Drosophila melanogaster: one gene and its partners. The gene in region 2 interacts genetically with the main gene of each other region. Each region holds a gene or a part of one and is shown on either strand. Other genes may lie near its edges.

Region 1 (4,003 bases), on a different chromosome or scaffold from region 2:
CAGCTCCTGCAGTCCCGTTAACCCGATCTCATAAATGGACCGCCGATCCTTGGTGGCCGCCTCCTTGGGATCGAAGAGTATGGAGGCGCGACTTCGTGCATCTGCCAAAGTTACCGACGACTGCGGCGCAGCCAGTTTCTGCAGCTGCTGTGCCAACGCAGTACTCATTTTGGATGATCGTTTTTTCCTTTTTTCTCAAGTTAATTAAAGGTAAAAACGGAGAACAATAAATGTGCGGCAACCGCACTCCACACGTGTTTTGTTGGTGTGGCCAAAGATCTCTTGGCAGTACACAAAGTAGCTTACGGTAAATAGCGCGCATTGGCGTTAGCCAAGACCCAAACCAGTATACTACAGCTGATTTTAAACATTTTCTGTTTGAATTTATTTTATGCAATGCAATCAATAATAATAAAATATTTTTAAGACTTGCCTAACATATTAAGGCTGCCTTTGAAGCCTGTTATAATGATGTATAATAACAAAGCCTTACATGTTAATAAACAGGAATCACTTTCCCCCAGTTATAATTATAACAATTATAGTTCTAAAAATGATTTATATATTTTGCATGTGTAAAAAATACTTAATCTCGCAGAGGTACAGAATTCCGACAAACCTTACATGGAACGATTTAAAAACATATATATGAATGTACGTGATGAAATGGAACTTAATGCGATGGACATAATACGAAATTAATGAGATTTAAAAAAATCGAATACTAATCGTAATAGTTAAAAGCCTATGATAAAGCTAAAAGCAGAGCCGCTTGAGCGAGTTCTTCCTTGTGATTTTCGGATCACGGTTCTGGGCACGTTGTGGCGGCGTCAGTCGCTCCCGTGGCATCATCAGTTTGGATGGTGTGTCCAGTTCGGTGACCAGGCAACGCTCGCCGGGATGCGACTTGCACAGACAGTTGACGCAGAACCGAAACTGGCAGATGACACTGGTGCATTCGGCGAAGTTATATGGCGGTCCTTGCGGTGAAGTCCTGACCTCGTCAAGATCCAGGGACAGGAAGCGTTTGAGAGGCGGACCCGTCATGCAGGGGAATGTGCTGGTTGTACGTCCAATAGGCAGAGTTTGCGACAATAGGTTTTCGCCACACTTGGCCGCCTCGCTTATGAAAACCCGGCTGCCTCGACCGCATCGCGGACACTTGACGCGCTGCGTCTGCTCGCGCAGCACCCTTCCGGCATCCACGTCCATCAGGTGGATGCTCGAGTTGCCCGAGTCCATTAGCGAGGCGGCGCTGTTGGCCAGGCTGCTATGGTTCGAGGTCTGCAATGGCACTGTGTGGTTTGCCTTGGGCACATGGCTGCACCGCTTGGGCACGTGAGGATTCTCTTTGGTTAGATTCAATTTGAGTCGGTGGTTCTGTAGGCGCTCCAAGTCGCGTTGGCTGCGATAAACAGCCTGCTTCCAGGCCGGCGATACCTTGGTCATCACGTCCAGCGTGTGGGCGCCCACATGACGCAGTATGCACTGCAGTGCCGGTTGCCATTGCGCCAGCTTGGCCACGATATCCAGCTTTTCGACACCGCCGTAGAAGCGATTCTTGGGCGGTTCTTCTATGTGGGGAAAGAGCAGCTTTTTGGACTTCTTGGGGCTACTGTGTGGCGATTGAAAGTGTTTCTTGCGTCGCTTGGGCAGACTATGCTCATCCTGCAGACGCGGAGTCATAGAGAAAGGCTCCTCCTCCGCGGAAAATTTCTTTTGGGGCTGTGTTCTGGGATAGGGCTTGCCCCAGTAAAGGTCCTGCTCCTGGTGGCCACTGGGCGTGTTCAGCCCCCGAAAGAATGTTGTGGTATTCGATGCATTGCGACAGTTTTCGCCCTCAGCGTCCTCCAATAAAAATGGCGTCTCCGCGGTGGAATTGTGCAGCGCCAGGAAGGATGTGTAGCCAGACTCGTTCATCTCCAACTCGAAGGATGACCCTCGGCTTGGGCTCTTCTTCCGCAACGCCGCGCGCCGATAATAGGCGCTCATCTTGACCGAATTTTAAACTTTCGAATTGTTATGCTTTTCGCATCGGTTGATTGTTTTTGGGTACGGATCAGTGTGACCGCCCCAATAAAATACTAACTGGCTACTAAATAGATACCAGTTCATTGTCGGGTCAACTCAGAATGCTACGTATCGCGTTGCCAACCATTTGATATATATTATCGTGACTGTTAGGCAAACCATTTAAACTTGTGCATTAAAAGATGCCACTTGATCGGATTATTGGAATCTGACAGTTAATCGTAGACTCCTATTAACATAAGCAACTTCAGCCATTTATAAACATGTCTAAAAGAGTTCAAGCTGTACAAGATTTGAGGTTCTGGAATAAGATAGCGTTTTTTCATTCTATGCAGTGTGTACATACTTCCATATTAGCGAGTACACATTCCAAAGCTAGCGAAGACGCACTTGCGACTAATGCTCTCGAAAAAAGAAGTAAAATAAAGAATAAGAGTGATAAATAATATGTATAATCAGTTCATTAAGTTAAAAACACCAAGAATTTGACTTTCAATAAATTATATTTCCATGCCTTACGCCATAAGTATAAAATAAATACCTATATACTCAGCTTATTGCTTTAATACCAATTCGAAAATAGAAAACTTTCACTTATTAAATATGGAAATAAGTAATAGTTTGAAAACATTCACTTTATAAAAACGGGATTCCGTTTAACATCTTATATATTATTATTATATTATTATATTATATTATATTATTATATTATATTATATATATTAAAAGTGTATTTCATCGTCTTAGCTTTGAAGACATTGGTAAAATTATGTTGATAAGCTTATAAAAATACTCTCGATTAGCTGACATATGGTGCTATTTAAATTTCTACGCCTATAACAAAAAGATTTTAATCGAACATAAGTATATCTATATCTATTAAAATTGAAATCATTACAAATTATTTTATGAGATATGTCTTCTGTTCCCTGTTTGGCCCAATCAAAATTCGGCAGTCAGGATAATCTGGCCTTGGCCATCATCAGTGTCATCAAATTAACGAAAATCCCTCAATAATTTATCATTTGTTCTCCCTGACTCGTCCTTAGATTTTTTCCGTTCCGCTTCCCTCATCTTCTTCTTTGCCGCGTCCTTTGTGCCCACTGACAAATTTGCCAGCTCAAGTTTTTTGTGCAAATCATGACGGGGCATAGATTTGGGATTCATGTGAAAGTCTTCCTTCGCCGCTAGGTGGATAGTTTCGTCAGCTGTCCATAGAGTCAGCTAAATGAAGCCCCATGACCCACCACCACTGGCCAACCCATGCTCGTGCCCATTCCCATTCCAAGGACCATTTGCAACCGCCCGACGACTTCATCCACTTGCTGGGAAAGATGAGAGGTCGAGAATCTGTTGTGGTTGCCGGGGGAAAATCAATGAATGATATTTCCTTTATGAGGCTCAATTATTTGCTGCGGGGATTTGCTATTCTACCCCGGATTCTGTCATCTGGTTCGTGCCTCATTGTCCTTCTAAATGCTTTGGCAAAATATTTTGGGTATTTGCGCTGCCTTTTGTCGGCCAGCAGCTTCTGCGTTAATAATTTATGAATACTTGCTCGTTTATTGTTTTGCATTATTTATGGTTTTATTATTTGTCTATTTGCTGCCACCAAAAGGGGCGTGTCGGCGGGCAAAGATTTTGTTTTGATTTTAATTAAATCGACGGACAGACGCACATCGGCTTAATTTAAAGTCATTTGACTGTTCTAATCTCTTTTCCACTGACCGGTTTGCCCATCTTTTTTTTTTTTCGGGCGTGGATATGGCAGCATATTAATTGTCGTCGTGGCTTTGGGATTAATCTGTGGTTCATTTGGTTCGGTCCTGGGAAGTCGTGGTCACCCTGTTTGCTTTGAGATCAGAGGGATGTTAACTAATGACTTTGTCAATGGGAGCCGAATGAGTCGAACTAGGGATATGTGCTAGGCATTGATTTATCTTAGGTGTATATAGAAGATAACTGCAATGAT
Region 2 (6,217 bases):
CATCGGAGTCTTCTGCTCATCCCAGAATTTCTCTTGCAATTGTGTATATCGGTTCAATATCGTACCGTTCTCAGGTGAAGCGTGGGAGTCAGTCTTTTGTGCTTCTTGGGGTAGCTTCCTTTTCTTAGCCTGCTCCTTGGTGGATTCATCTTCGTTCAGTCTATCAGCATCTGCCTCCTGCATCCCACGTTTTCTAACCACAGTCCCTTTAATTGGTCGGTACTCTTTTCTAGTTGGCACTTGCTTTTCTTGACATTTATCGGCAAGCTTTGGCATTTTCATAACGTCAATAATACAACTTTTTGATTTAATTTGCTTTTCTGATTCCTTGGTGACTGTTCGCATCTTGCTTGTATCATCAGTTTGTTCTTTTGGGAGCTGCTCTTCAAGCTGAAACAACTCATTCTCGCTTCCTGATTGACGCTTTACTGGTCTTTTAATCAATTTGATGCCCAATGAAGGCTGAAGTTGACTTATGATATCTAGAATGTTTTGAGGCATAGCCGAAGCGCTTGTTGATGTTGTAGAACTCTTATGCGCCACCGTTGTTTTCTCCGTGTGTACAACCGGCTGTTCCTGCTCCGTAGCCAGCACTTCGTCGGCTTCGTCTTTCCCTTGCGGTTCCTCCTCTTCTGTCAACTCTACTGTATTTCGTTTCTTAACAACATCCAAATTCTGTGTCTCACCATCCACGAATCCCAGAGGACACTCGAAATCTTTAGGTGGTATTAGGTGTTGCTGCTTTGGAGGCGTCAACTTCACGAGAAGAGCTTCACCGTTCTGGTCGAGATTTTCATAGTCTAGTGCCAGATCCCTGTTGATCCTGAACAAAGTGGGCGTCTGCATTGGGATGAGTCTGTCCATTTTGTAGTTCATGAAGCATTCCGCTCGAAAGTGCCGGGCACAAACTGTTTTGGCTGCCAGTTTGGACGGCGGTGCATTTGAAACGTCAGGGTTTGAACAATTCCTGACCCAATCTTTCAACCTCTTCGGATCCTTAACGGGGAACTTGAAGAAGTGCATATTGGGGTTGCGGCTAGAACCCACCGGACAATCACGAAAACAACACTTAGTGCCGCCCATTTGTTTAAATATAAGCAAACAACTTTTATGTTATTAGTGGTGGAAGTGTTAGCGTCAGCTGGTGATATCGATGGGAGGCATCGATAACAGAATTGACCGAAACCAAATGATCGATATGACACTTCTTAATTAATGAGAGATTTTTTACTTGACTGGGCTTGTAGCAGGTTTTGCACAGAAGCAATTATTTTCCGGAATGTGAAATGTCTGCTTTTTAGCTAATTACAACAAAAACTTTCCAATTTTTGTTCCCCAAACCCACTCAAGTGATTTCAAATTTTACCGTCCGCTTAAAATGGAACTAGTTTATTCCAGAGGAACCAGCTTGCACCACCAAGTCTCTGAAACTCTGGAAATATCGATAGTCTGGTGGAGAAAAGTATTCATAAATATAAATAAAAATTAACAGGTCATAAGCTGATTTGTTTATTATTTACTGTTAAAACAAGTAAAATAATATTGGGAACAATTAAATTTTCCATTTTCCTAATTACAGTATAAGCCTAGTGGGCGTTTTGATATCCAATTGTAATGTTTTAAGCAATCCCAGTGGGCTTTGCTCAATCGTTCGGACCACTTAGACGAATTTCCACCAAACTTAGTTCAGTATAATTTTTGAATTCGCCCGCACAGGTTGCGCACTTTTCGACCGTATCACAACACTGATCTACCCTAGTATTCACAGGAAGTTGCATCCCTGGCATCCAGAAGCCTCTAGAAGTTTCTAGAGACTTCCAGTTCGGGTCGGGTTTTTCTATAAAAGCAGACGCGCGGCGTTTGCCGGTTCGAGTCTTGAAAAAAATTTCGTACGGTGTGCGTCGTAACAACAAGCAGCGTCTGAAAAGTTTTGTGAATTTCCAATTCTATACAAAGCAAAGTGAAAATATCTGTATTTTTACCTTTATTCTGTGAATAGAACGAAAAACATACATACAAGGTGAGTAATGCAAATTACAAGAAAAGAGTGAATAGTTTATCAGTGGCTATGGCCAAAATGTGCATTTTGCGTGGTCCTGTGCATCTCGAATGTTCTTGACCCAAATGTGAGATATTGATTTTAAATTTCTAGGAGCCAAGTTTAAGAATTTTTTTTGATTAATTAAGAGGTGGCAACGTGCAAATTAACTCAAAATGCCGGTTTCTTTTATTTTTTGTCGCTTGGACGCATCTTCCAGAGGTTTCTATGCTTTAGCATGAATTAAACATCGTGCCAAATAGGCCTTTTAATTATATATTACTGTCCTTTATTTACAATTACATGTGGTTTATAGAATACAAGATTAATTTTTGTTTAATGCAATGGTCTTTTAGCGCTAAATCGAATTATGCCGCTCTTTTTAGGGGGTGACAATGCGCAAATCACATTTGCCGCTCGAGAATGTTCTAGAGGTTTCTATGCTTTAGCATGAATTAAACAGCGTGCCAAATAGGCTTTTTAATTATAAATTACTGTCCTTCATTTACAATTACACGTGCTTTCTTTGCATTCCCATTTTAAATTGCACATGCCGCATACGCACACATGCACGCCCATGACTAATACTTTCAAGTAAAAATGTGGCGTCAGTAAGCAAATTCTGTTAAATCGGTTTTTTAATCCTATTTGCTCTATTTTAATTGGTTGGTTGCTACTAGCAACTTGCTAGGCGAATTAGTTTTCCTTTGGCTTCTAGATGCTTCCACAAACTTCCTTGGTGAAGTACGAATTTTCAATGCAATGCTCACTCACACAGACACGAGTTTGCACACAGCAGGGGTAGAAAAATTATCAACCGACCCAATTTGCATAATTATATTTAAATATTTAAATTTAAAACATTATTTTGCAACTTAAAATCAATTCTGTTGGCTAATTGAAATTAAAATTCCATTTTACGGGTTGCAAAGTGAATGCTATAATTTTGACCACCACTGTACTTGTATATGCGCATGTTAAATGAGGCATGTGCAAAAGAGAAAGAAAGAAAAAGAATAAAACCGGAGCAGCTGCTGAAAATGCAGCTGCTTTTCCTTAGTGTTGAACCCACAGACTATAACTAATCCTAATGATTTTGTAAATCCATTGCAGATGCCAGAAGAAGCAGAGACCTTTGCATTCCAGGCTGAGATTGCTCAGCTGATGTCCCTGATCATCAACACATTCTACTCGAACAAGGAGATTTTCCTGCGCGAGTTGATCTCGAACGCTTCCGATGCCCTGGACAAGATCCGCTATGAGTCCCTTACTGACCCCAGCAAGCTGGACTCTGGCAAGGAGCTGTACATCAAGCTGATCCCTAACAAGACGGCTGGTACTCTGACCATCATTGATACCGGTATCGGTATGACCAAGTCCGACCTGGTCAACAACTTGGGAACCATTGCCAAGTCCGGAACCAAGGCCTTCATGGAGGCTCTGCAGGCTGGTGCCGACATTTCCATGATCGGTCAGTTCGGTGTGGGTTTCTACTCCGCCTACCTGGTCGCCGACAAGGTGACTGTCACCTCCAAGAACAACGATGACGAGCAGTACGTGTGGGAGTCCTCTGCCGGAGGCTCTTTCACAGTCCGTGCCGACAACTCTGAGCCCCTGGGCCGTGGCACCAAGATCGTGCTGTACATCAAGGAGGACCAGACCGACTATCTGGAGGAGAGCAAGATCAAGGAGATTGTTAACAAGCACTCCCAGTTCATTGGCTACCCCATCAAGCTGCTCGTAGAGAAGGAGCGCGAGAAGGAGGTCAGCGACGATGAGGCTGATGATGAGAAGAAGGAAGGTGATGAGAAGAAGGAGATGGAGACTGATGAGCCCAAAATCGAGGATGTTGGCGAGGATGAGGATGCCGACAAGAAGGACAAGGATGCCAAGAAGAAGAAGACCATCAAGGAGAAGTACACTGAGGATGAGGAGCTGAACAAGACCAAGCCCATCTGGACCCGCAATCCCGATGATATCTCCCAGGAGGAGTACGGCGAGTTCTACAAATCCCTGACCAACGACTGGGAGGATCATCTGGCCGTCAAGCACTTCTCCGTGGAGGGTCAGCTGGAGTTCCGTGCTCTGCTCTTCATTCCCCGTCGCACGCCCTTCGATCTCTTCGAGAACCAGAAGAAGCGCAACAACATCAAGCTGTACGTGCGTCGTGTCTTCATCATGGACAACTGCGAGGACCTCATTCCAGAGTACTTGAACTTCATGAAGGGTGTGGTCGACTCCGAGGATCTGCCCCTCAACATCTCACGTGAGATGCTGCAGCAGAACAAGGTCCTAAAGGTGATCCGCAAGAACCTGGTCAAGAAGACCATGGAGCTGATTGAGGAGCTCACCGAGGACAAGGAGAACTACAAGAAGTTCTATGACCAGTTCAGCAAGAACCTGAAGCTGGGTGTGCACGAGGACAGCAACAACCGTGCCAAGTTGGCCGACTTCCTTCGCTTCCACACCTCTGCCTCCGGCGACGATTTCTGCTCCCTGGCCGACTACGTGTCGCGCATGAAGGATAACCAGAAGCACGTGTACTTCATCACTGGCGAGTCCAAGGACCAGGTCAGCAACTCTGCCTTCGTGGAGCGCGTCAAGGCCCGTGGCTTCGAGGTGGTCTACATGACCGAGCCCATCGATGAGTATGTCATCCAGCACTTGAAGGAGTACAAGGGCAAGCAGCTGGTCTCTGTCACCAAGGAGGGTCTGGAGCTGCCTGAGGATGAGAGCGAGAAGAAGAAGCGCGAGGAGGACAAGGCCAAGTTCGAGAGCCTGTGCAAGCTGATGAAGTCCATCCTGGACAACAAGGTCGAGAAGGTGGTGGTGTCCAACCGCCTGGTGGATTCGCCCTGCTGCATTGTCACTTCGCAGTTCGGCTGGTCCGCTAACATGGAGCGCATCATGAAGGCCCAGGCTCTGCGTGATACCGCCACAATGGGCTACATGGCCGGCAAGAAGCAGCTGGAGATCAACCCCGATCACCCAATTGTGGAGACTCTCCGCCAGAAGGCCGATGCCGACAAGAACGATAAGGCCGTCAAGGATCTGGTCATCCTGCTGTTCGAGACCTCTCTGCTGTCCTCTGGATTCTCGCTGGACAGCCCCCAGGTGCACGCCAGCCGCATCTACCGCATGATCAAGCTGGGCTTGGGAATCGACGAGGACGAGCCTATGACTACCGACGATGCCCAGAGCGCCGGAGATGCCCCCTCGCTGGTTGAGGACACAGAGGACGCTTCCCACATGGAGGAGGTCGATTAAGCGACCAGTCGAAACAAACAACCAAAATTCATTCTATCACTCGCATTCACATACACAATTTACTTGCGTTTCGAACTTTTATACTGAGTTTACTACGGCCGAGTTAAATTTTGTATTCATTAACATTTTGCCGCGTTATAAGCGACAGACATACGCTTAACTCATAAAAAAGCAGGAATAACTCGTTAAATGGTTAGGTTCTCACAGAACATTCAAGAGCAGTTGTCGTTTTAAGAACTTATAATTTAGAATCCAAGTAATTTATGTAAAAAACTAAAGACTACATACGCGCCCTAGTTGGTAGAGCTATATAAAGAATCGAGTATATATATAATTAAGGTTTGATGACCCGATCGATGATAAACATAAAACCAAATAAACAACAAGCAAATGTGTTTTAAAAATCTAACTTCTGAGCGAGTATTTATTGGGGGGAATAAACAATCTATGAATCGGATTCTTTGCGCAGCAGCTGCTCAATGGCCTCCACCGTGGACACTCCCTTGGTTATCATTATTATCTTGTTTCGCGATCGAGATCCCTTGTCCAAAGAAACGTCGCTCTTTCGAAGACCTAGAACTTTCGACAGAAACTTGACCAGTTCGGCGTTAGCTTCTCCCTCGCTGGGCGGAGCGGCGATTTGGACGCCCACTCCTTCAAAGCCAATTCCTGTGATTCCGTTCTGCTTAGCCCCCGGCTTGGCAAGGATTTGTATGCATATATTGCCGCTCTTATCGACTGAAATCGGACTGGCTTCCTTAGCCGGCATCGCTTTTGCATCGTTTTTCGCACTTTCAACGCCGGCCTTTGATTTCCCCTTGCTCTTCGACATTATTTGGGCGTTGACCGATGTAAACAAGCGGCGCATTAGCTTCTTGGCAATTATTTTAAATATTTTGTGTTTTTAAATGC
Region 3 (4,880 bases), on a different chromosome or scaffold from region 2:
ACCATGCTCATCTCACGCAACAACAATAAGCGGATCAATGATCTTACCGCAGAACAGCGATACAACTTGGCGCTGACCATAAAGGAGCTGACCACCAAGTATGACAATCTGTTCCAGTGTTCATTCCCCTACTCGATGGGTTGGCATGGAGCACCGACTGGGCCGGAGCATGCCCACGCATCCAGTGCTCATTGGACCCTGCACGCCATCTACTATCCGCCGCTGCTTCGTTCTGCCTCCGTGCGCAAGTTCATGGTGGGATTTGAGCTGCTGGCCATGGCCCAGCGGGATCTGACTCCCGAACAGGCAGCCCAAAGGTTGCGGGAGGTCGATGGAAAGTGTCATTATCTAGAGAAGTGATTTCGCTCGAGGGTATTTGTAGAATCCCAGATGGTTTAGAATTCAATAAAAGGAAATAGTCTAATACGACTGTAGTAATTACTTCATACTTATTCGCAATCAGTTGTAAAATGTTCTAGATTAGTGATTTGACTGTGGCGAGGGTCCAGCCAATGATCAGCATGATTGCCAAAGACCTCTGGAGGTCATGCAATGCAATCATTGATTTATCAGATAAGCTCAGGAATAATGCGACTTTGTGTTACCTAATGCAAAAGTGGGGAAAATGTTCTTAATCGATTAAGCGATTTTTTCTAAGCAGAAAAGGCGGGAAATATGATTTTTCATAAAAGAGCTTTTCTGAGCAGACCAAAAAGACAATTTGGCCTACAAAGGAAGGGGTATCAGATGGTCGAGGTACTCAAATGAATCGACGCCATGTGTAACTGTAACAATTACCGCACTGTCACAATCACTTTTTCCTTTTCAAATCATAAGTTTTCCATTAAGCTAACCAAGTCTATTTTATATAGAATATATGGCAAAATTGAGTAGAATAGTATAAGTTTAACTAGCTTACTTGGAACTCCGTTTGCGGCTGGGGCGGTTGGCTCTGGATGATGGACTCGTCACTGATTAGGTTCGGCTTATTTTTGTTTTTGAAGAAGGCAGGCATGCACTCATTGTTGTTGTTGTTGTTCATGTTTAAGTTAGCTGTGGTGGAGCGGGTCCGGAATCTTGTGCCGTCCGAGGTGCGCCAAATATTCATGCGGCGAAGCCTTCCCTCCAACTCAATGTCGTCGCAGGTGGCGATGCGAGGCATCACAAAGCTCTCCTTGGACCTGTGCATCAGGGCATTGAACATCCCGTTGCGAATGTCCATCAGGCGGGAGCGGGTATAGCTCTTGACCGGCTTGCTGCTGACCACCGGAGCAGTAGTAGGACGAACAGCCTTGGGTGCTCGCAGACTTCCTGGCTTGTGAATGCCTGTGCTGGGTGGACGCTTTTGCTGCACCTGACTAGACTGCTGCTCCGGCACGGCCTCCTTGCTGGCCACTTGCTTCCGCGGCGAATCGTGCTCCAGGTCACAACTAACGGCCGTGCAGGACAACATGCTGGAGGGCTGTGTGTACGGTGTGGATGCTCGGGCCGAGAGAACTTGCAGGGTCAGACCCTCGTCCTCGTGCAGATGCTTCGAGGGTCCATGCATCGGAATGGCCTCCCCCGAAATGGATTCGAGGATTTGATTCTGTTTGGCCAGTAAATTGATGATCTTACAACGCCTCTCCATCTCCACAATAACGGCGGGCTTTTTGGTCTGCAGCATAACAGCCGTGGATGTGGATGCCAACATGGATCCATCGCCGATCGTTTCTGGGTTTGAGCGCCTGGGTAACATCTCCAGGGCCACCACATTCTTGTTTTTGATGGAACGAGAAGACTGTTTGCCAAAATAAAAACAACATTGAAAAAACTTCATGATATATGAGAGTGCCTGTCTGTACTCGATGTAAAATAAGTGTCGAATATATGAATGCCAAGTCAAAGTTTCTTTAACTAAATTTTTAACGACATTTGTATCAGAGCTGCTCTGATTCCTAATACCATTTACGTGTTTAATACTGTGCTTTGTTGGCCAATAAATATTGCGAAGATTTTAGACTAATATCAAGTTTGACTCAAGAAAAGTTAAATTTAAAATGTATTTCAATATAAATATATAATCTGACAACAGTGTGCACTGCTAATAATAAAATTAAAAATGTTATATGTAATGAACTCACCTCAGGGCTGGCCTTTAGCGTCCGCTTGTTGGCCTCCAACTTGGTGATGGCCTTCTCCAGTGCGTCCTTCAGCTTGAAGGCGGGCAGCTTGAGGTAGCCCAGTCCGGTGGCCAGGAAAGCGCTAGTCGGCAGCGGAGGAGGCGGGGGCGGAGCGCACGGATCCTCCCACTTCTCGGAGTTGGCCTCGTCGTCGTCATGCTCTTGACTGGCATTCAGAGCGGTGGCCTTGGTGGCTAGCGGAGCCTGGACTGGAGTTGGTGGCGGTGGAGGGGGCGGGTACTCGAACTTGCCCTTCTCAGCGGGGGTCAGCACCTCATCCTGCTGATCTTCGACTGGCAGCGGAAGCTGCTGATGCGCTGGACGATCGGTTGCACCCGCATTGGTGGCAATTTTCAGGGCGCCAGCGCCATTTTCTTGCTCAGCTTCGGCCATTTGCATAGCATGGCCATTCAATTCGATCGCCTCCTCTTTCATAGGGTCCATACTCACTAATTGTTGGTTTTTTTTTTGGTTAAAACTTAAAACGAGTACTTTTGATCGGGTCAAATATATTGAAATGTATGAGAAATTGAACGAAATCACGTTTAGCACAGGTTCGTTCGATCTTAGGATCCGTTATTCGGCGCTGCTACGATGAGTAAGCAGGACAGGAATAGGAAAAAATACCGAAAGCGAATGGTGGAAGATGGAGGATGGATTGACCAGTGTTGACAAACACTGATCTGCGACTTATACAGCTTTCAAATAGTTAATTCTTTGATTCCTAAACAAAACAGCGAATTTATTAATAATGCGCTACGACATTTACTTTTGACAACAGAAAGTAGCTAAGCCTGGAACGTGATAACTTTGGAAACTAGTACTTGTGATTCTTAAGATTTCGATTACATAAAAGCCGTTATTCTGTTACAAATTTAAAAAATTAAGTGCAAACGATTTTAACGTACTGTATCTTATTATTTGACAACTATACATATGAATATAGCGGAGCACACAAACCCAAAATTTAAATGAATTTGAGCCAGCACTTTGGCAGAAGGGTGATCGCCGTGCGACACCCGTGGCACCAACTGGGTGCAATTCGTCACTCGTTCATGGAATCCGGGAGGGAGCTGCTGGATTCGGGGCACCGCTCGGGCACGATGGCAGATGGTAACCGCGGGTAAACCTCCACATTATCGTCCACTTATCCAACTCCCAATACCAAGCACAGTGGCGAAGAAAATCCGTGAGCACGTCGGCGTGGAAGGAGGCTACCACATCATTCCCAAGAGCCGGGATGGACTGCTCAAGTTTCAGCCGAAGCAAGACGAACTGCCCAATCGCTCCATGCTGGACTCACAAACGACTGCCCAGGTGCTCCTGGAAACAGATGCTCTGTTGAGGCAACGATTCGTTTACGGGCGAGGCTTGCTTCGCATGGGCAGGATAATTGAGGAACTTGACCTTCTTGCAGGTAAGTAAGTAAAGTATACTAACTAACTACTCCAAATACCTGATTAATGAGAGTGGCCTTGCAGTGTGGATCTGCCATCTTCACATCCATCTGCCCAATCTGCCGGAGGGTGTGCCGCTGCCATACACTTTTATCACCATGCTGGTGGACCACGCCCACTTCTTGCAAGACAAGTTTATTGCGGATGCAGATGTGTCCCTCTCCGGTCACGTTTCATATACGGACAATAACTTCATGGAGGTCACGGCATATGTGCGACAAAGCGGAATGTTGCTGGCAAAGGGCATTTTTGTGGTAGAGGCTCGCGATGCCATCAATAATGGCCCTGCTCCTGTCAATCCTCTGGTGCCGGCCAATGAGCTGGAAGAAAGTTTACACCAGGAAGCGCAGAAGCGGCACCAGGAGCGTGCCAAAGCGTTGTATCGCCTGGAGTCGCAGCAGCCCACCAAGGAGGAACAGCAGCTCATGTACGAGCTATTTACCCGAACCAAGGGCGATGACGGACCTTCGCCGAGTGATATGACTACTCTACCACCGAATTCCCGCTGGATGTCCACGTGGCGCCGCAGAACCCTGATGCATCCGTTCCCGGAGAACCGAAACGAATCGAACACCATTTTCGGAGGGTTCATCATCCGCAAGGCTATCGAGATTAGCTACATGACAGCCTCCCTCTACTCCAACCAGCGTTGCATGATCCGCTTCATTGCGGACGTTACGTTCGCCCATTCCATTCCCGTCCATAGCTATATAAAACTGAAGGCGTACGTGGTTTTCACCCACGAAAACTACATTCAGCTGCTGACGGTGGTGAATGCAATCGATGGCAATAGCTTTACGGAGCTTAAGTGCAATGTGCTGCACCTGACCTACTCCTGCAGCAAAGCAGTTCCGGAGATCCTTCCCAGAAGCTATCACGAGGCGCTGTGGTACCTAACTGGTCGTCGCTACTTCAATCGATTCCGTGAATCAGTAAGTCACGACATGGACAATGGATCTGCCGTAGAAACCAATGGAGCGAAAAAAGACAATTAGAGATTGGATTTAATAAAACATATGCTGTCGATTTGCATTATAGATATTTTCATTTGATGAATTAATTGAATATACACATTTTTTCAGCGAAACGCCGTTTATTTAAACATATATGTAAACATATTGTGAACACAAAACCAAATATGACTACAATAATTTATCCTTTGCATGTTATTCGTACACATTGTTTGTTAATTAATTCGGTTGACAGGAAAAAATGGATTAAGAATACATTTTAAAAACCACTAATTATAAAACTGCACATA

What was found.
Region 1: of Hsp83 (region 2) and Rca1, changing one suppresses a phenotype caused by changing the other (phenotypic suppression), as found in Drosophila melanogaster (one study listed by BioGRID).
Region 3: of Hsp83 (region 2) and cup, changing one enhances a phenotype caused by changing the other (phenotypic enhancement), as found in Drosophila melanogaster (one study listed by BioGRID).

What each region holds. Positions count from the first base shown.
Region 1 is NT_033779.5:6,850,411-6,854,413, reverse strand, and holds Rca1 (regulator of cyclin A1), read right to left. Parts: upstream 2,100-4,003; 5' UTR 1,993-2,099; coding exon 757-1,992; 3' UTR 548-756; downstream 1-547. Other genes in the region: l(2)k09022 (lethal (2) k09022), read right to left, coding at 1-168.
Region 2 is NT_037436.4:3,191,348-3,197,564, forward strand, and holds Hsp83 (heat shock protein 83), read left to right. Parts: upstream 1-1,621; 5' UTR 1,622-2,020; intron 2,021-3,151; coding exon 3,152-5,305; 3' UTR 5,306-5,712; downstream 5,713-6,217. Other genes in the region: CG14965 (uncharacterized protein), read right to left, coding at 1-1,083; CG14966 (uncharacterized protein), read right to left, coding at 5,751-6,173. UniProt on the Drosophila melanogaster protein: Molecular chaperone that promotes the maturation, structural maintenance and proper regulation of specific target proteins involved for instance in cell cycle control and signal transduction. Undergoes a functional cycle that is linked to its ATPase activity.
Region 3 is NT_033779.5:6,661,831-6,666,710, reverse strand, and holds the start of cup (cup), read right to left. Parts: upstream 3,048-4,880; 5' UTR 2,562-3,047; coding exon 2,124-2,561; intron 1,781-2,123; coding exon 920-1,780; intron 448-919; exon of another isoform or gene 361-447; coding exon of another isoform or gene 1-360. Other genes in the region: Galt (Galactose-1-phosphate uridylyltransferase), read left to right, coding at 1-360; CG13771 (uncharacterized protein), read left to right, coding at 3,134-3,275, 3,337-3,579, 3,644-4,614. UniProt on the Drosophila melanogaster protein: Adapter protein that plays a central role in localization of transcripts in the oocyte and in young embryos. Maintains RNA targets in a repressed state by promoting their deadenylation and protects deadenylated mRNAs from further degradation.